4 linked regions of the Arabidopsis thaliana genome follow. The protein of the gene in region 3 purifies or fractionates together with the protein of the main gene of each other region. This does not show direct contact. Each region holds a gene or a part of one and is shown on either strand. Other genes may lie near its edges.

Evidence for each region.
Region 1: the proteins of EMB2107 (region 3) and AT3G03960 fractionate together in Arabidopsis thaliana (co-fractionation; one large-scale study listed by BioGRID). This does not show direct contact.
Region 2: the proteins of EMB2107 (region 3) and PAE1 fractionate together in Arabidopsis thaliana (co-fractionation; one large-scale study listed by BioGRID). This does not show direct contact.
Region 4: the proteins of EMB2107 (region 3) and AT3G27415 fractionate together in Arabidopsis thaliana (co-fractionation; one large-scale study listed by BioGRID). This does not show direct contact.

What each region holds. Positions count from the first base shown.
Region 1 is NC_003074.8:1,022,104-1,028,391, forward strand, and holds AT3G03960 (TCP-1/cpn60 chaperonin family protein), read left to right. Parts: upstream 1-2,040; 5' UTR 2,041-2,328; coding exon 2,329-2,479; intron 2,480-2,691; coding exon 2,692-2,954; intron 2,955-3,042; coding exon 3,043-3,189; intron 3,190-3,299; coding exon 3,300-3,461; intron 3,462-3,616; coding exon 3,617-3,694; intron 3,695-3,812; coding exon 3,813-3,946; intron 3,947-4,027; coding exon 4,028-4,100; intron 4,101-4,181; coding exon 4,182-4,259; intron 4,260-4,345; coding exon 4,346-4,468; intron 4,469-4,549; coding exon 4,550-4,644; intron 4,645-4,756; coding exon 4,757-4,966; intron 4,967-5,133; coding exon 5,134-5,191; intron 5,192-5,423; coding exon 5,424-5,501; 3' UTR 5,502-5,788; downstream 5,789-6,288. Other genes in the region: ECT1 (evolutionarily conserved C-terminal region 1), read left to right, coding at 50-271, 420-968, 1,053-1,265, 1,387-1,524, 1,623-1,664; AT3G03970 (ARM repeat superfamily protein), read right to left, coding at 6,041-6,288. UniProt on the Arabidopsis thaliana protein: Molecular chaperone; assists the folding of proteins upon ATP hydrolysis. Known to play a role, in vitro, in the folding of actin and tubulin. Contributes to stem cell maintenance through its impact on transcription factors trafficking through plasmodesmata.
Region 2 is NC_003070.9:20,103,217-20,107,809, reverse strand, and holds PAE1 (20S proteasome alpha subunit E1), read left to right. Parts: upstream 1-1,732; 5' UTR 1,733-1,861; exon of another isoform or gene 1,862-1,949; 5' UTR 1,950-2,017; coding exon 2,018-2,031; intron 2,032-2,125; coding exon 2,126-2,207; intron 2,208-2,427; coding exon 2,428-2,508; intron 2,509-2,686; coding exon 2,687-2,800; intron 2,801-2,885; coding exon 2,886-2,987; intron 2,988-3,100; coding exon 3,101-3,159; intron 3,160-3,251; coding exon 3,252-3,354; intron 3,355-3,450; coding exon 3,451-3,516; intron 3,517-3,586; coding exon 3,587-3,679; 3' UTR 3,680-4,054; downstream 4,055-4,593. Other genes in the region: AT1G53860 (Remorin family protein), read left to right, coding at 421-645; PME1 (pectin methylesterase 1), read right to left, coding at 4,352-4,593. UniProt on the Arabidopsis thaliana protein: The proteasome is a multicatalytic proteinase complex which is characterized by its ability to cleave peptides with Arg, Phe, Tyr, Leu, and Glu adjacent to the leaving group at neutral or slightly basic pH.
Region 3 is NC_003076.8:3,088,760-3,094,515, reverse strand, and holds EMB2107 (26S proteasome regulatory subunit, putative (RPN5)), read left to right. Parts: upstream 1-1,920; 5' UTR 1,921-2,081; coding exon 2,082-2,084; coding exon of another isoform or gene 2,085-2,088; intron 2,089-2,176; coding exon 2,177-2,371; intron 2,372-2,945; coding exon 2,946-3,053; intron 3,054-3,140; coding exon 3,141-3,245; intron 3,246-3,329; coding exon 3,330-3,386; intron 3,387-3,479; coding exon 3,480-3,676; intron 3,677-4,047; coding exon 4,048-4,147; intron 4,148-4,234; coding exon 4,235-4,347; intron 4,348-4,451; coding exon 4,452-4,609; intron 4,610-4,681; coding exon 4,682-4,759; intron 4,760-4,835; coding exon 4,836-5,110; 3' UTR 5,111-5,238; downstream 5,239-5,756. Other genes in the region: AT5G09910 (Ras-related small GTP-binding family protein), read right to left, coding at 64-117, 200-504, 570-711, 809-900, 1,151-1,244; AT5G09890 (Protein kinase family protein), read left to right, coding at 5,674-5,756. UniProt on the Arabidopsis thaliana protein: Acts as a regulatory subunit of the 26 proteasome which is involved in the ATP-dependent degradation of ubiquitinated proteins. Required for gametogenesis and sporophyte development. Acts redundantly with RPN5B.
Region 4 is NC_003074.8:10,145,246-10,148,536, reverse strand, and holds AT3G27415 (uncharacterized protein), read right to left. Parts: upstream 1,472-3,291; 5' UTR 1,167-1,471; coding exon of another isoform or gene 1,163-1,166; coding exon 635-1,162; 3' UTR 545-634; downstream 1-544. Other genes in the region: AT3G27416 (uncharacterized protein), read left to right, coding at 645-1,166; AT3G27410 (uncharacterized protein), read left to right, coding at 2,895-3,291.

The sequences.
Region 1 (6,288 bases), on a different chromosome or scaffold from region 3:
TTGATATACTGTGAGTTTTTTTTTTGTTAACTGACTGTTTTCTGAGAAGGGTTCTTTTCAGCATCCGTATGGTCATGCACCTTATGGTGCATCTTCTCATGGAAGTGAAAGAAGGCCAAACATGAATGCTGGCAATCTGCTAAATGGTGGAGACTCGATTGGTTCATACCCGTGGGGTTACATCCCAGCAAACTATCCTTCTGGTGGCTACCCTGATCCGAGGTTTGGTTATGACCGCAACAGCAATCACAGTTCCTTTTCACATCTCATGGTATGTTGGTTACTTCACATGACCTCTCTGCCTCTTTTCTGTCTTCATATAGTCAAGAGAATGTGTGTTTTGTTCTCTTCGTCATCTCTGCTGGGACTTGGGATTTTTTTTTTGTCTAATTACTGGCTACAACTGTTTTATTTAACAGAATCCACACAGCTCACAAGAAGTACCAAGTTTTGACCAATTGGGATATAATGATCATTTGTATTCCAACCATGGATTGTATGGACTTTACGGGAATGTAATTGACTCTGGTCATGCATATGGAACTTTTGGTTATGATTCCTGGAAACTTGGGCGAGGATGGTATCCCGTTGATGGTTATAGAAAGACCAGAAGCTTCAATCATGGGCGTGGTTACAGTGATGAGAAAGCAGATAGGCTTAATGAGCTATGTCGAGGACCAAGGAGTAGTGATTTCAAGAATCCACAAGTTCTTAACTCTTCAATGCTAGATGCAATGAAGCAAGACGTTTCAGCAGTAGATCTCCAGCGCTACAATGGGGAGAATTTCCCTGAATCATTTGTGAAAGCAAAATTCTTTGTGATCAAGTCATACAGCGAAGATGATGTTCATAACTGTATTAAGTATGGTGCATGGTCGAGCACACCAACTGGCAACAAGAAGTTGAATGCTGCATATTATGAAGCCAAAGAAAACTCCCAAGAATGCCCTGTGTATCTTCTGTTCTCGGTCAGTATGAGGTTACTTCACGTCTTGTGCAATATCCTTTCAGATTTACATTAAGTAACTCACTGTAATCGGTTTTATCTACAGGTGAATGCAAGTGGGCAATTTGTTGGTCTTGCGGAGATGGTAGGCCCTGTTGATTTCAACAAGACAATGGAGTATTGGCAGCAAGATAAATGGATTGGTTGTTTCCCTGTGAAGTGGCATATCATCAAAGACATACCAAACAGTCTCTTAAGACACATTACCCTGGCGAATAACGAGAACAAGCCTGTCACTAATAGCAGAGACACTCAAGAGGTCCGTTGAACTTCCCCTAAACCCTTTCTTGGACATGTTTGAAGCCTAATTGAATTCTAATAAATAATGATTATGGCTGTTAGTCAGGCTTTTAAACTGTACGGTGATGGTTTTGGTACAGGTGAATCTGGAGCATGGGACCAAGATCATAAAGATCTTCAAGGAGTATATGAGCAAGACATGTATACTTGATGATTACAAGTTCTATGAGACAAGGCAGAAGATCATCAGAGACAAGAAGATCAAGCAAAAGAAACAGGTACAATTCCTTAAACCCTGCTGCATCTAAAGCACATTAACCACCCCTCTTGATACAGTCTCTGGGATTGTTTCATTTTGATTGTTTTGTTATATTAGGCCCTTGATGGAGCTTCGGGGGAAACAATTAACTTGAGTTGAAAGATGGAATCAATGCAAGGAAAGAAGAAGATGACTTAATTAAAAGAACTTAGTTTTGAATTATGTTTTTTCTTCAGGGTTGGGATTTCTAAAAACCTAATACACATCTTTAATCTGTGTGTTTTCTCTGCTTATCTAAACAAAACTTACATTGTCTTTTGTTCCTCTTAAGGGGACGCACATCTGATAAAACAAAAACTCAGGCTTTCCTTCAAAGTTCATATCATGTTATTTTCAAGTTATTTCTCTTTTAGTCCCTAAACTTTCATATAATAAGACTCTCATCCGTAAATGTCAAAAATCTCACATTTTGGCCCACATCACCATAAAAGTTAAAACGACACCGTTTAGCACAAAAACCAGAAGGAATGGTGTTCTCTATTCGTCCCTAAACTTTCATATAATACAACTTTCACCCCTAAAGATTTAAGATCTCAATTTTTGGCCCCCATCCCCTTAAAATTTAAAACGACACCGTTGTGAACTCCCATTTTAAAACCTCGAAAGTTTTCTAGGGCAATCTCGGCCACTTTTACTCACAGAAAACCTTCTCTCTAAACTTCTTCGAAAATCTCACAGAGCTTCTTCTTCTTCGCTTTTAGGGTTTTTGCTCTATTGTTTCGAGTGACCCAACTTCGAAGCTTATAGATCGTTACCTTAGAAAATGGTGGGTATGTCGATGCAGCCATATGGTATTCAATCGATGCTTAAAGAAGGTTACAGGCATCTCTCTGGTCTCGACGAAGCCGTCATTAAGAACATTGAAGCTTGCAAGGAGCTCTCCACCATTACTCGCACCTCTCTCGGTCCCAATGGTTCGTAATGTTTCTCTGATTGGGATTTGATCTAATACTGAAATGATGAATCTCGTTTTCTCCGTTTCGTTTTACTTTTACTTGAGTGTTGTAAGTAGGATCTCGCTTGTGTATAGTTTAAGCAAGCTTGATCTGTTACTGTAAAGGTGAAGTCTTTTTCTAGGGATTCAGATTCGGATTAGAACTGAGTTCTTCTGTTTATAATGTTTCAGGAATGAATAAAATGGTTATCAATCATTTGGACAAACTGTTTGTCACAAATGACGCTGCTACTATAGTGAATGAGCTCGAGATTCAGCACCCGGCTGCTAAACTTCTGGTTTTAGCTGCTAAGGCTCAGCAAGAAGAAATCGGAGATGGAGCTAATCTGACAATCTCCTTTGCTGGTGAACTTCTTCAAAACGCTGAGGAGCTTATCAGGATGGGACTTCATCCGAGTGAGATCATTAGTGGATATACTAAAGCTGTCAGCAAGGTTGGTGAATACCTGAATTACTGTTTTGTGCTTTTCAATTTGTTTGTCTTGAGTATTTGACGAATGCTATTGGATTTTGATTATGCAGGCTGTTGAAATACTGGAACAACTGGTTGAGACTGGTTCTGAGACCATGGATGTACGTAACAAGGATGAAGTTATTTCTCGGATGAGAGCAGCTGTTGCAAGCAAGCAGTTTGGGCAAGAGGAAATAATTTGCTCTTTAGTTACTGACGTAAGATATTCCTTGCTATCTATTTGTTTCCTGTTTCGTTGTTCAGATTGTTATTTATTCAAGTTTATTGCAGATTTAGATTTTACTTGATGGGTTCATATTATTTCTAGGCATGTATTCAAGTCTGCCCAAAGAATCCAACGAATTTCAATGTGGATAATGTTCGTGTTTCCAAGCTTTTGGGAGGAGGCTTGCACAATTCTTGCATAGTCCGTGGTATGGTCTTGAAAAGTGATGCTGTTGGTAGCATTAAGCGAATGGAGAAAGCGAAGGTGAGATCTCTTTCTTTTGTTTATGCTTTTGACAAAGTTTTTTTTGTCTGAATTGATCAATGTTTGGGTCCCCTATGAAATATAGCTTTGTGGGTTTGTCTTTTCTGTTTTTGATAGCTTAATGTCTCTAAATCAATTTGTTATGCTTTCTTCAGGTTGCTGTATTTGCTGGTGGCGTTGATACCACTGCAACAGAGACCAAAGGAACTGTCCTCATTCATAGTGCTGAGCAGGTTAGATTTGTTACTGTCTTTCTAAAATTTCAAAATTACGATTATGGCTTCCTCAAAGATGGTTGTGTATTTGTAATCGTTATTGTGACAAATTTCTCTTTTTATATTGGATTTGTAGCTAGAGAACTATGCAAAGACAGAGGAAGCTAAAGTTGAGGAGTTGATTAAAGCAGTTGCGGAATCAGGAGCCAAAGTCATTGTTAGTGGAGGATCAATTGGAGAAATGGCATTGCATTTCTGTGAGCGCTACAAGTATGTGTAGACCATATCATGTTATACTCGTCTTAGCTATTGTTATTGTCTGCATTCTGATACCCCATTTTTTCTTGGCAGGATAATGGTATTGAAAATCAGCTCAAAGTTTGAACTGAGGCGTTTTTGCCGTACAGCGGGGGCTGTCGCCCATGTAAGTGTTATTAATTGGCTATCTGAATGAGTATCTAAGGGTGGTTTTATCCTAGCTTTTAATCCTTTAATTATCAAACAGTTGAAGCTTAGCCGGCCAAGCCCTGAAGATCTTGGATATGTTGATTCTATATCGGTTGAGGAAATTGGTGGTGTGACAGTAAGTACTCCGAAGTCAATTCCAATATTTTTGGTTAATTATTTTTGTCTTTCATTAATCATAGACAATTCTCGGTCTTCTTTTAGGTCACGATTGCAAGAAACGAGGAAGGTGGTAACTCCATCTCCACTGTGGTCTTGCGTGGAAGCACAGATAGCATTTTGGACGACCTTGAGAGAGCTGTTGATGATGGAGTTAACACATACAAGGTAATATCTAGCTTCATTTGTACCATCTATATCGTATAATTCATTAATTTGTGACTGTTATTACTTCAATTTTATTTTCAGGCCATGTGCAGAGACAGCCGTATTGTTCCCGGGGCTGCAGCGACTGAAATAGAGTTGGCTCAAAGGTTGAAGGAATACGCCAATGCAGAAATAGGGTAACTTTCTTTTACTTCATTTTTTCAAAAATTAAACATGTGAGGCTAGCTTTTAAAGCAAAACTGTCTATGGTTTGGGGACTGAACTTAGGATTCGCTTTTGAAATTTCAGGTTGGACAAATATGCCATCACCAAATACGCTGAGAGTTTTGAGTTTGTACCCAAGACCCTTGCAGATAATGCTGGCCTCAATGCGATGGAAATCATAGCCGCTCTGTACACTGGACATGGATCTGGAAACACAAAACTAGGCATTGACTTAGAGGAAGGTGCTTGTAAAGATGTTTCAGAGACAAAAGTATGGGATCTTTTTGCAACCAAGTAAGTTTCAGACTGTCTTTTTGCCATCAAATATTTCTATCAGACGTCTCTATACTTGCTTAGCAGTTGTTCTTGAACATATAAAAACTGGAGTAGAATTTTCTGACTGGTTACAAAGATTACCATTCACTTTAATTGATAACTAAGACGCTTAAGTCTCTGTGCAGGTTATTTGCCCTTAAATATGCTTCAGATGCTGCATGCACTGTACTTCGTGTAGACCAGGTATGCACAAACTGACTTGATTTAATCTTTGGTGAACGGAGCAATTTTTTATTATATTGTAAAGTGTTGATTCATCACATGAAGTAAAAAGATATTGTTCGGTGAATGCATTATCTTCCAGGATTAAGTCCCTTGTTCGTGAAAACTCTTAGATTCAATATTCAGTTCCACTGATTGATCTCATCTACTAAAACATGCATGTTTATACTCAAAATTTATGTAAAATGTGCAGATTATAATGGCGAAACCAGCAGGTGGACCAAGGAGAGATGCAGCTCAAGCTGCAGGTGCTGGTGCGGAGGAAGACTAAGCCGGAGAACAAATACCTCGTAGTGAAACTCTCTTCTTTTGTAACCTTCTGTTCCTGAAAGTCTGAGAAAATTTTGGTATGTCTCAGTTTAAGATTTGTGATCTTTGTAACGCACCACCAACTTAAGTGTTTTGCCTTCTTTTTCTGTTTTGCCTTGTTTTGGCTCGTCTCAACACTCAGATTTTCCGGTTTAGCTAGTGAAATTATTACTAGGATTTTTGGCTTAACTCTGTATTAATGTCAATTTGGTTTCTATTTGAATCGACTTTTGAACAAGTGACAAAATCATTCGGGGAAAAGAAAATGATCCACACATTGACAAAAGAACAAGAGAACCTAACTAGAAATTGAACCTATGTAAATATGTCTGGTTAACAGTTGTTTCGACTTTTGAACAAGTGACAAATTCATTAGGAAAAAGAAAACAAACAAACTAGTATTTGAACATGATCCACACATTGACAAAAGAACAAGAGAACTAAGCTAGAATTTGAACCTATGTAAGTTCTAAGCTTTTTAATGTTCATCCCTTAGACTTTTTAAGTCGGAACAAGATGAGGAGGCATCATATCATCCTGGAGATACATCCACATGAAAGAAGCAAACCCTGCAACTGCAATAGAGAAGACACTCAATCCCAATTTTAACACACCCTTGCTCCGTCCCAGACGTGGGTCTAGTTCAGTCTCCACTGTCTTAAGTTTGGCCTCAGAATCCAAATCTGTTTTTGGTTTCTCACAGATATCTTCTGTTGTGTTGGTTGGAGTTGTAGTACCAGAGGTATCAT
Region 2 (4,593 bases), on a different chromosome or scaffold from region 3:
ATCTTTGTAGCCTGTACTTGTAATTTGTGCAAGTCCCATGTGAAAAGATTGATTTACTCTCTTGGGAAATTGGAGTCTTAGATTAAATTATCAATCATCTATCATCTAGCTACATAATTTGGATTAAACTTTAAAAATAAATGTAGCTATATTGAAATGATTAATTTTCAAGAATTAATGTCTGCGATTTTGGTGGTTATGTAGTAGCTACATGATAGTCGTACTTGTAATTTGTGCAAGTCCCATGTGAAAAAATTAGTAATTTCCTCTCTTGAGAATTTGGAGACTAAAATTTAATTATTAACTATTAATCATAATTATCTAGCTATATAATCATAATTAATAGTCCATAAATGTAGTTGAGTGATGAAGTTTTAAATAATTAATGTGTGATATTTGGGGTGGTAATTATTGTTGTAGGTGAAAATACAGAAGATGAGATCAAATTTAGAGGAGAAATTAATGAAGAGAATGGATATGGTGCACCGGAGAGCAGAAGATTGGAGAGCTACGGCGAGGCAGCAACATGTTGAGCAGATGCAGAAAGCGGCCGAGACGGCGAGGAAATTGACAAACCGCCGAGGCTATTTGGTTACCGGCCGTAGCTCATGTGGTTGTCTACCTTGCAATAATACTTGTCATTAACTCAGTCAAAGTAAAAGAGAGTAAAATACACATAAACAAACACAAGAAATTACTGTTTATGTGTTTCAATTATCAACATGTATGTTCGTTTATTGTTTATGCAAGAAAGTAAAAAGCCGATATGGAATAACGAATCGCAAAACTTCTTTTCAAAAAAACGGATTTTTTTCTGTAAATTAATTTGCAGAATTAAACGAAAAAAAGTTGAACATAGAATTGTAATTTTGTGCGTTGAACTTGAGTGGTATAAAATAAGTGTACTAGAACTTTTTTTTTCTTTCATCTGAAACTTGTTTTGGAACCATGGTGAAATACAAATTTCAAACAAGGGAAGCTAAGCCGATGGACGAAAGAAAAGTCATCGGAAACTAAAGTCGACGTACGAGAGAAAAGTCCTTGAAAACTAAAGCTGGAGGAAAACGTAAATTTTTTGGAGTCTAAAACCCTATAAAGGGGAAACATGAACACATTACAAAACAGAAATTTTAAAGCCTAAATCGAAAGAGATCGAAACCAAAACCTAAACATAAGTGTACTAGAACAAATCACTAGAATATATAAGTTTTTTTTTTTTTTTTGGAGTTCTAAAATTGGTAGGAAAAAACACAAACACTAGTGAAGACTATTTCCATTAATATATATAAGGAGTTTTGTTCTTGTTGTCTTTTAGTAACGAAATTCGAATAGTTGTTATCATGCAAAAGTGTTTAGAGAAATAAGAGAGACTGACCAAAGACAAACTTTTGCGTCTGGAAGGAGAAGAAGTCTCGCAACAAGTCACAGCTTTTCATCGTTCCCATACTTTTACGAGACAACACTCTTTCAATTATTTTGTACTTTTCTGTTTGGTTTTATTCACTAAAACTAATTATTTCTAAAAAAAACATTTATTTGTGTACAGCAAAAAAATAATAACCTGGACTGCCAATTTTTGTCTTTTTCTTTTATTGTTACACTTAACTTCTGACATTGAGATAAATTGGAACATGTTCAAATTCCAGTCAGTTCTATAGCTGTCTCATAATTTTTCAAAAATACAAAGAAAGGCCTAATTGGGTGACCCAGGCTTAATATAGTTAGGCCCATGAAAGCCCATTATAAAAAACGCTGCGTTTAGAAACAATCTAACTTGTTCTTCAAGAAGAAGTGCGTCTTTGAAAGCTAAAAAGAGAGCAAAAGCTTCTGTTTATTCTCCGATTCGCAGATCAATTAGCTGGTTTGATTCTATACTCTCAACAAGTTCATTGTGATGATTTTTATTTTCTCTGAATCTCTGGATTAACTCAGATCCGTTGTTTTTCTAGGGTTTTGATTCCGTTGTGCGAAGGACTTTAAGAGGTTTTGCAGATCGAAATCGGAAGAGAAGAAGAAGATGTTTCTCACTAGGTATCTCTATCTACTTCTGGGTTCATTGAAATTTTCTTCCTTTACTTCAATCGTTTGTTTTGCTTATGGTGGTTTCTGATTTTGTTGTGCGAAGAACTGAGTATGACAGAGGAGTGAACACTTTTTCTCCAGAAGGAAGGCTATTTCAAGTGGAATATGCCATTGAAGCTATCAAGGTAACTTTTCGATTCCTCAATTTGTTAGTTTCCTATGGAAATCGAGAAATTTTGAAGAAAGGGTAATGGTTGATTTACGGTTTTCTTTGATTGCTTTAGCTTATTTGCACAAGTTCTAGCTCACATTTCCTTGTTTAATCGATGTAGTTTGCATTTCAAATTTGTAAAAGGGATTGTTGAATTTTGTTGAGACTCTGATGAGTGTTGAATTTTGTTGCAGCTTGGTTCTACTGCAATTGGAGTAAAGACAAAAGAAGGAGTTGTGCTTGCTGTCGAGAAGCGTATCACGTCGCCATTGCTGGTTTGCTTGCTAACTTTGAATTCTATGTTTTTCAGAATTTTTCTTGTGATTCACTATTTTGGAACAATTTGAATTGAATCTGATGATATGATCAAGCAGAAGCATATAAGCTTTCTATGTTAGTTATGGTGATATTAGCTTTCTCAGTATATGTTAAATGCTTTTTCTTTTTCCCCAGGAACCGAGCAGTGTGGAGAAGATTATGGAAATTGATGACCATATTGGTTGTGCTATGAGCGGTTTAATTGCTGACGCGCGCACACTTGTTGAGCATGCTAGAGTTGAAACTCAAGTAAGGTTTCTGTCTCTAGGGTCTTTTCTTTTAGCTTCAACAGGTCTTTTATGTGTTATTGACGGCTTCTTTTGCTCTTGTACAGAACCATAGATTCTCGTATGGTGAGCCGATGACTGTAGAGTCCACAACACAAGCACTGTGTGATCTGGCTTTACGGTTTGGTGAAGGAGAGGAAGAATCAATGGTAATAATCAAAATTGGAATTACTGATTAGAACAAAACCTTGATAAGTTGGATATCCATATTTAGTCGTTGTATTGTGTGTACTGATTCTCTTTGTCATTAATGTGACTACAGTCTCGGCCGTTTGGAGTATCTCTTCTCATTGCTGGCCATGATGAAAATGGACCAAGCTTGTAAGTTCTCCTTCAGTTGGATTTCTTCTACTGAAATGGTTCACTTGTGTAAGTTAGTTTATCTTCTTGTAAATGACTCTGTCTTGTTACAGGTACTACACTGATCCTTCAGGAACATTCTGGCAGTGCAATGCAAAGGCAATTGGTTCAGGTTCTGAAGGAGCTGATAGCTCTCTTCAAGAGCAATTCAACAAAGTAACTTGAACTTTTTCCCAATTGTTTTTCAATAAATTATTTGATTACATCACTTTATTTGCCATTAAAACCTTTAGTTTCATTAACTTGTTGCAGGATTTGTCTCTACAAGAAGCTGAGACTATCGCTGTATCTATCCTAAAGCAAGTTATGGAAGAAAAGGTACAAATTTTACAATCCAAAACTGTAAACAGAAGTTCTTGCTCAATCTAATTGTATTGGTTGGTGATAGGTGACTCCAAATAACGTGGATATTGCCAAGGTAGCACCAGCTTATCATCTCTACACTCCACAAGAAGTCGAAGCAGTCATCGCTCGTCTTTGATTGAAAAAACTCAATTTGGGTAATTTACCTATCAGCTTGTGTCACAAAACTTGTTACTTTTGTCTGTTAGATTGAGGATCATGTCACATTTTAGTCGGTTGTGTAAGAGAATCTTTTGGCTCCCATGTCATTCAATAACCTTTCGGATTTGTGACTTATAAAATTTCCTTTCCTACCACTTACGTTTTGTTACTTGCTCTTCGACTTGGCTTTGTCCTGACTATATGGATAGATTTATTCTGGCTTGCTCCACAAGTTAATCTTGTTTATTCTGGTTTTGTTTAGTGTGGATAGATTAGTATTGAGTTAGATTTTTGTTTAGGAGCCGGCTCCTAATTAATCGCCATCAGATAATTAGATTTTTATCGGATTTATGATCATCCCGTTTGTTAGTAACATCGTCGACAATGTCCCGATGACAAGGATATGAAGGTGAGTAATGGTTAGTAACAGTATCATCGTTGTGTTATAATTCGAGTTCAAGGTGTGAGCTACAAAAAGCGAGTAGCTTTGATAGTTCTACATCAAGAAGATATCGTATTAGGGGATACACAAAATACAACTATGTTGGAAAAAATTACAGATCATGCATAAGTGTCAAACAAATATAAAGTAGATCACAACCGGATGTTTTCAAAAACAAGCTACGAATCCAATTGTATTGTCACTATATTAAGATAGCTGATTGATCACTCCTGTTGCCGGTATCCAATCAGCTCCGTGTAAAAGCGTAGCCACTGTAAACTTCGCAGCCTCGGCGTCCGACATAACCGGTTTATATCCAGCCCATTTAACTCTCTGCGTTACATCTGAACCCGGGCCCGTATTCTTATACTCTCCGTAGACAATACTTGCTGGTGGATCAACTCCAGAAACCCATGACATCCACCCGGACGGTCGAACCACTGCTCCAA
Region 3 (5,756 bases):
AAGAGAAAGAGAGAGAGGGAGAGAGCTATTGTAAAACATGGCAAGGTCAGAAATGACACCAACCATATGGAAAATTTTGGTCAGAGCTTCTTTGTCATATCTAGCTTCCTTGGCAGCCTGTGCATAATTTTACCAAAATTATATGACATACCGCATAACACTAAATTCAAATAAAGCAAGTAATTTAGTCTGTGGTTACCATTATGAGACCAACATTGCTAGGGAAGCTCTCAGAGAGAGGAAGTTCATCACTATGGGGAAGCAGACCCTGCTTCTCAACCCAATGACGAGCTGCATCAACAAGATTGCCACTGCTTCCATTTGTTCCTCCTTTGGCAGCAATATCAGCTTTGTTTCCAATAACGATGTATGGGACGGGAAGACCACCAGGCCCACCAGAAGAAAGGGGAGCTGAAAACTCCCCAGTTACTGAAACTTCACCCGCCCATTTCTGCAAATTAGTTTTTGTAGTCCTTTGCGAAAGATCATGAACAAAAATAACTCCTGCATAATCAAACAGTCGCATCAGTGACAAAACAGGGACAGAGATGACATTTGTTGAGACAGACCATTGATTTGTGAATAGAACAGTGAGCGGCAATCTTTGTATCGTTCATGACCTGAAACATCCCAAAGTTCGACGAAGAAATCTCTCTCTGAGTCACCTTTAATGATACTTGAAGAACTAGCAGGACTTGCGTAAGTTAAGTGCTGCACCAAAGAGAGTTCCAGAAACTAAGTAGGGAAACTTATCCCATGCTCTCTTTAACCATATCGAGAATTTTTTTTATAGAACAGCTTAAGTTACCTTGACACCAACTGTACATCCAATAGTTTGAGATGGGCGAACAATAGAGGAGCCTTTGACAATGAGATGCACAAGAGATGATTTTCCCACACCTAATTTGATATCCAGAGATAAAACTTTGCTCAATAGTGGAGAAGATGTAGTAGACTTACGAAACTTGACTCTTATTAGGTTCCACAAGTAGAAACTCATATCCAATCATCATGAGAAATCTTCTCATTAGCTCCTTCTTTAAGGATGAGTTTGTGCACTACGACAAACTTTCTTTAGTTCCATTAAATGGCTACTTAAAAAGCTAGAACCATTACCAAATCTATGGAAACGAGAATTTGTTAATATTACCTGAATCACCAACCACCAATACTCGAATTTGGCCGCATAATGGCGCTACCATATGTTCCTTATTTTCCCTGCCACGTTCCCTCCAAAACCGCATTTTGATTACTCCAGCAAAATCGGCACTGCGAAATTAAGTCCCATAGTCGCGTCTTCGACCAAAAGAGAAGCTTCCAGAAATCATCATTTCGAAACTCTGATTCCTAGCTGTAAGCAGATTATTCTAATCCATCACCTTGCACATTGCAAAACAGAGTCTCGGCTACAGTTCCTTCACCTTCCTAGTGCAAATAATCTCTAGAGCACAAATCGAAACCAATACCGAAGTTAACACAATTGATGGAGGTAAGCAGCGAATCTAAGGAATATGTAAGAGGATCAATATTCGAATTCTAAGAGCGTAATAAGAGTTTCACAGAAGTAAGATTCACCTTCTTCCTCCTTAACGTTCTTCTCCTCGATGAAAAAAATTCAGAAAAGATCTTTCCAGTAATCAAGGTAAACCATTGAATCTCGAGACAGGGAGTTCTCGATCGACATTATAGAATCTCTGGTTTCGCTACGAAAATTCGAAGATATCATGAGATTTGGGCGGAAGAACGAACGACGTGAGTTTGTTCAATCAATGGGATCGGTTCGATACTTCTGAACCAACACCATACCATATAACTAGACCGGTATTACATACCAAACCTGATTGACTCAAAACAATTAGTTAATGGCCCATTAGCAGCCCATGTAAAAAGATCCATCGGCCGAAGAATCTGAGATTTCTTGTTCAAGGGGTTGGGAACTCTGCGAATTATCTGTGCTCAGCTACTCCCAAAAGCTCTCTCATCTCTCTCGTCCGTCTCCTCTTTCTCCATAGTTTAAAGCTTCGTCGTTCCGTCACCAGAATTTCAACTACTTTGAGTTGATTCTCGTTGGATTTCTCACGATGGCGAGTCTTCAATTACTCAGATCTGATATTAAGTTTTTTTCTCGTTTTCGAAATTTTTGCATCTTCTCATTCCGTCATAGTTTGTATTTCAGGGAGACAGCGGGAAGCTTGAGGCAACGATAGATCGGCTTCTGAATGAAGAGAAGCAGATGAGACTCGCCGAAAACGTAGCCGGTACAAGGAAAGCCGCCACTGAGATTCTTCAGCTTTGTTTCGATGCTAAGGATTGGAAACTTCTGAATGAGCAGATTCTCAATCTCTCTAAGAAACGTGGTCAGCTCAAACAGGTACTTGGAATTTTGGTTATATCCTATCAGTGTTTGTGGTTTAAGCTCTTAAGGAACATGAACTTTTGGTTTGGGATAATTTGAAGGATTTGTTTAAGTTGGATATTTTGTTTGAGTTTTGAATGTGATTTGTTCCACATTTGACTTAGGAATTGCATAGGCCTAGTTTTTGGTAACCCTAATCTTGGAAAGAGATTAAGGACATTAGCACAAATTCAGGAGGATTCGACTTTGTGTTGGATACAAGCTTCTTTTTGTGGGATGTTGTCCTGTGATAGGTTGCTTTTACGATTCCTCTCTATGATTTTGATAGATTCACTGTTGACTCAAATATTAAAGCTAAATTGGGTCATTGCAGATAGTGATGTTTGTATTTAGTTCAGTTTATTACTTAACTTAGTTTGATTTTCAGTGTTTCGTTGGTTTTACTTTTGCTTTGCGTGTTTTCTTGGTCTAGTTACTTCAGACAGAATTAGCTTCACCTTTCCATGTACAAAATTATAGTTAAAAGTAAGGATACAAAGTGATAAGTCAACATCACTGATTTTTTTTTTGTGAACTTCTCCACTTGCAGGCTGTGCAATCCATGGTGCAGCAAGCAATGCAGTATATCGATCAGACACCAGACATTGAAACTCGGATAGAGCTTATCAAGACGCTGAACAATGTATCTGCTGGAAAGGTGCGAAACTATGAAACTGATGGTGTATTCTTTATAATAACTTCATCATTCTGTGTAATTGTTTACCATTGCATTTTACATGTATAGATATATGTTGAAATCGAGAGGGCACGTCTCACCAAGAAACTTGCTAAGATTAAGGAAGAACAGGGTCAGATAGCTGAAGCTGCAGATCTTATGCAAGAAGTTGCTGTAAGATTTTGTGCATTTGGCTATTAAATCTCCTGGAAATTTTCTTCCCTTGTTAACCCCTGCAATTTGATAAATAATTAACAGGTGGAGACATTTGGTGCTATGGCAAAAACTGAGAAAATTGCATTTATCCTTGAACAAGTAAGGACTTGTGTAGTTACGTTGCAATTAATAATTTGCTGGTGTTTTCTTTCATTGTGATAACTATCAAACTATTGTGGTCAAACTTTAAAGGTTCGCTTGTGCTTGGATCGTCAAGATTTTGTTCGTGCACAAATCTTATCTAGGAAGATCAATCCTAGAGTTTTTGACGCAGATACAAAAAAAGATAAGAAGAAACCTAAGGAAGGTGATAACATGGTAGAAGAGGCTCCTGCTGATATACCAACCCTTTTGGAGCTTAAGCGAATTTACTACGAGCTTATGATTCGGTACGGCCTTCTTGAGCTTCTCTATCACATTGTTCGTGATTTGTATTTCCATCATTTATCATGGCATTTTAAATTCTTATATGACTGTTTAATTATGGACCTCTCTCTCTGTCTCTTAAATTCTATCAATCTGTGTGGCTTTTGCTTGCTATGGTTTTCTCAGAGATGCATATTACAACTTTTTCCTGGAGGACAGTATCGAAATTTGGATGAATCTCCTTTTGTGTCAAATTTATGACTCTCTTTTCATGGCCAACGATTTTGGACATCAATTGCATTATGTTATCCACTGAATTCTGACGTACCATGATTGATTTCTGTGGCATTCTCATCTTTTTTATTATTAACCATAAAAAATTTCAACTATGTAGGTACTATTCTCATAACAATGAGTACATTGAAATCTGCCGTAGCTACAAGGCGATATATGATATCCCTTCAGTAAAAGAAACTCCGGAGCAGTGGATTCCGGTAAGCTCATGCCGTTGATTGGATGTATAGTTAGTATACATTCTATAGGGTTAGTGTAATAACTTTCTTTGATCTTCAAAACATTAGGTCCTGAGGAAGATCTGCTGGTTCTTGGTCTTGGCACCTCATGACCCAATGCAATCAAGCTTGCTCAATGCAACTCTGGAAGACAAGAATTTATCAGAAATCCCTGATTTCAAGTATATTTTATTTTCTGATAAATTTTGTTATTTCAATAACTGATTCTTTTGTACTCAAATGGGTTCTCAGTCTTTTTTTCTTTGTTTGATATCACCCGTTTCAGGATGCTTCTAAAACAGGTAGTGACAATGGAGGTTATTCAATGGACATCTCTGTGGAACAAATACAAGGATGAGTTCGAGAAAGAGAAAAGCATGATTGGAGGTTCTTTGGGTGACAAAGCTGGTGAAGATCTGAAACTGAGAATCATCGAACATGTAAGTCTCTCAATTTGTCTTTAAGCTTGTTTACATAAGTTGATTGATGCTTTAAAGTTATTAATTTATTCTGCAGAATATCCTCGTTGTCTCAAAGTACTACGCAAGGATAACCTTAAAGAGACTTGCCGAGCTTTTATGCCTGAGCATGGAGGTATGTTTGATCTAATCTCACTGGCTATATCAACTATGCTTCTGCTTGTTATAATTGTTGGAAATTGTGATTTCAGGAGGCGGAGAAGCATCTATCGGAGATGGTAGTGTCAAAAGCACTGATTGCAAAAATAGACAGACCATCTGGAATTGTGTGCTTCCAGATCGCAAAGGACAGCAACGAGATTCTAAACTCGTGGGCAGGGAATTTGGAGAAGCTTCTAGATCTTGTGGAAAAGAGTTGCCACCAAATTCACAAGGAAACCATGGTTCACAAAGCCGCTCTCAGACCTTGAAAACATGCGGTCTTCTTCATGAAAACTTTTCAGGATCTTCTTCGTTGAGTTATTAGCATCTTTATGTGGTAAAAACTCGAATCAGTGTTTCCTTTTAAAAATTGTACTATGGATCTGTACACTAACGAAGTGTTTTGCCACTTATTGGTTATTTCAAGTGTTGGTGGATTAGTTTTTGGTTAAATTGTTAGAAAATTTACATGAATTTACTGAACGAGAAGAATAATCTCGTGTGTGCCCCAGGAGATAGATCCAAACCTTGCGCTGACAAAAAGTCAGACGATAAAAAATTGCTTCATCAAAGATTGCAAGTTAATAATAAAAACTAAAATTATGATGGCACTGGCACATGTATAGTCTTCCATACTCTAAAAAAAACTAATAAAATTTGTTTATTGTTGTTAATTAATGTGATTAAATTTAATAGAGAGGAGACAGCTTTGCCAGTTCATCTCTGGTAAATAGTCCACGTTCTGGCGTCTTTGGGATTTCACCAACACCGTGACAGCTCCTTAGATCTCTCCTCGATTACTTCCTTTTTAATTTCCATGGCTCTCTAAAAATCTCTCTCTCTTTCTCTCTCTCTTACTTGTATTGTTACGATCTCTGCTTGAAGATTATGGACGGCGCCGATGGAACCGTTCGCGTCAAGCCTGGTCGCGGATTCGAAACGGAGACGGATGTTGCGGTTTCGTCGCCAGT
Region 4 (3,291 bases), on a different chromosome or scaffold from region 3:
CACGTGCGTCGTGGATTACAAAGCTTATGAGTATTATCATGGGCCTTACATTTTAAATGGGCCTTATTTATTTTGGGCTCAGTTTACTTTCTCATCTCTAATTAGACTCATTCACAAGATTGCAGTAGATTTATTTATTTTTAGTTTACGAAATGTAAATGTTTCGTTGACTTTTAAATGTGCTTCTTCAGTTACGTGTATGAATTTGTATTGAACAATTGAACTTCCACTTAATATTGAGTTATTGACTAACTGGTACGTTAATCAAGTTTTAATTCTTAGTATTTTGTATAGCTTAAATTAAAATTAACTTTTGTTGAAACAGTGCTCATTTAGTTACCACAAAATCAATCTCAATAGTCACGTGTTCTCAATTGTTTCTTGAAAGTTGGGAATTATCATTACCACATGTTCTCTTTTTACTAACAAAAGATCAAACCAATAAAATTTTAAGACAAGTTCCGATGGACCCGGTCAACCAAAACTTTGGTCAAATCTGTAGAATTCCCTATAAATTAAATTTTACCTCTTCCTTAATCTCTCAAAAATAACTCTTTTCTTCTTTTTAATCTTTTTTAGCACTAATCATAAACCACAAAAATACATAATTAATCACCACAAAAGCAATTCACATTCACCACAAAATGACAATGACACTTAAACTCCTATCTCTCGCCGTGGCTGCCTTGGCCATCACCGCCGTCTTGGCCGCCGATCCTCCAACACCGGCAAACGCACCGAAAGCCAACGGCGAAAAGAACTCTACCTCTCCTTCTCCCGCCGCCGCAGCATCCCCAAAATCACCCACGGCCTCCGCCCCAACCTCACCGCCTACAGCTGCTCCAACCATGGCCAAGAAAAATTCCACCGGAACTCCAAGCCCTTCCCCATCTTCCCCATCTCCAAAGTCATCATCAGCCAAAACTCCGGCTTCAAGCCCTGACTCAAGCTCCGGTGATTCTTCCGAAGGTCCTACCAGCTCCTCTGACGCACCTACCGCCTCCTCTCCGCCAGCTCCGACTCCAGAAATGTCTCCATCTTCCGATGACGGAACTGGCGCCAGTGACGGCCCTGAAGCTTCGGCTCCTGCGGCAGGAGCCTCATCGCTTGTGATCTCTGTCTCGGGCTCTGTTCTCGCAGCCGTTGCATGGCTTTTCTTCATATGATTGAATATTACTAGTATTTTCTTGGAGATTTCATACTACATTTAAGATTATATTATACGTTTCATATTTCAATTTTTGGGTTTATTTTAAAACAGTTTGTTCTCCGGCCCGATTTTTCACACGTTAAATTCGTGCATAGTACGGAGGTTAGGATATTTGATGTTGTTACAAATGTTTAGTTTGTGTTATTTATGTTTATGTAATCTTTAGTCATTATAACAATAACCATGAGATTCTCATTGTTCGAAGGGTCTATTTGTAATTTAATCACATTCATTTTCTAATGATCCTTGCATGGCTAGTATCTATATGTATATAGCATCTCCTTAAGGACAACAATGGGGAGCAACACATATATTAGGTATAGCGTTACAAATTATAGTCTAAATCAACAACAACAAGAAGAGAACCATAATATCAACAATGGGGAGTTCTATTCAATTTTTATTTTTTTGATGAATTCTCTCTCACTTATTTCAAAAAAATATTTCTAAACTCATTATAATTGAGAGCATTGACTCTCTCTAGAGAGCTTTGAGAATTTAATAGAGTCTGACACTTGTCGTCTTGTGATTGGACGCATATTTTTAACAAAAAATAAAGAGATTTTTTTGTTTTCATTCTTTAATTTTTTTTTTCTTTTTCTACCACAAGCTATCAAACGATATGGCTTTTTCGTCCCGTATTCCATTTTACGATGTCATAGAGTAAAGTTTTGATCAATTACTCGATCAACAATTTGATAATATATTCAATTTTGTTTTTGCACATCTATTTTAAAAAAATATTTCAAAATAATGTATGTTTAATATGTTATGAATTACAATAATTATTAAGTCTTATTAAATAAAAAAATTTTAAAATAATATATTTTTTTCTGAGAACCCCACTAAGAGAAACTTTGACTGGAGTATGAATTTTTTTTAAAAATACTAAAGCTCTCTTTTTAACTTTTTTTGAAATTTATACTTAAAAAAATAGAGAGATCCTATGAGGAACTCTTTTCATTGGAGATGCTCTAAATACGTTTAAATACATATGATTTTATATAGCTTTCACTTCTCACATACACTTACAAACCGGTCACAAGCACAAGCGTGCCAAACCCAAACTTGCGGCCGCAAATACTATAAAAACAATTTCAGCTTTATAATTTTGTATTTGTTAGGTAGTCTAGTGGTAAAGGCTGGTTCTAAATAATCTTCAACACTAAGGTTTGAGTCACTAGAAACGCTAATTTTAACAATTTCCTTTTTAGAATGTTTAAACTATATCCAGTTTTATATTTAGTTTAATCATAAATAATAATTTATTATCAATATGTGTAAAACAGCCTTTTTATTTTTAGTCGTCTTAAAATACTTAAAGACGGCTCTTTAAACAACTAGTTAAAAATACCCTAACCATATTCTAAACATAGTTTAACTTGTAACCATTTTCTTATAGATATAGAAAATTGAACAGCTCGTGAACTCGTATGTGAGTTATGAAACACAACACCTAACCGTAAATAACAATATACAACCATCTCCATTACAAGTTTAAATTCCCAATCTCCATTTCTCCTTCACTTTCAATTCACCTTGATTGTTTAATCGATCTACTTTTGTGAACCTCACAGAAAATCATCGTATATACAATTCAATACTATAACCCCACAAAGGTCCATTTGAATAAAAGAGCCTAGGGGATCAATATATCATCACGTACTATATTACAAATTATACGATGGCGAGTCATTTCTTCCTTGTCTTCATTTTCGTAATTCTAACCGTGGCTAATGGAATTTCAGCAGCTGATTCTGAAAAGTCTCAATCGCCATCTTCATCAAAGACTCTTGCTGACAACAAACCAACAGTAGATAACTCTACAAAGAGTTTGATTGATAGTCTTGGTCCATCTCAAGATTATCCGGATTACGAAATCCCCTTAGAACTTGCACCAGACGGTGTTGTGGTGGTGGGGGATTACGCGCCCATTAGTCCAAGAGGAACCCCCGATACGCTTGCTCAATCTGAAGCGGATCAGGATGTCAAAACCTCGACATCTAGCTCCGCCTCTAGATCTTCTTCAACCGTTTTGGCTATTGTTGTTGTGATGGGAGGAGCCAGCTTATTTTTCTTTT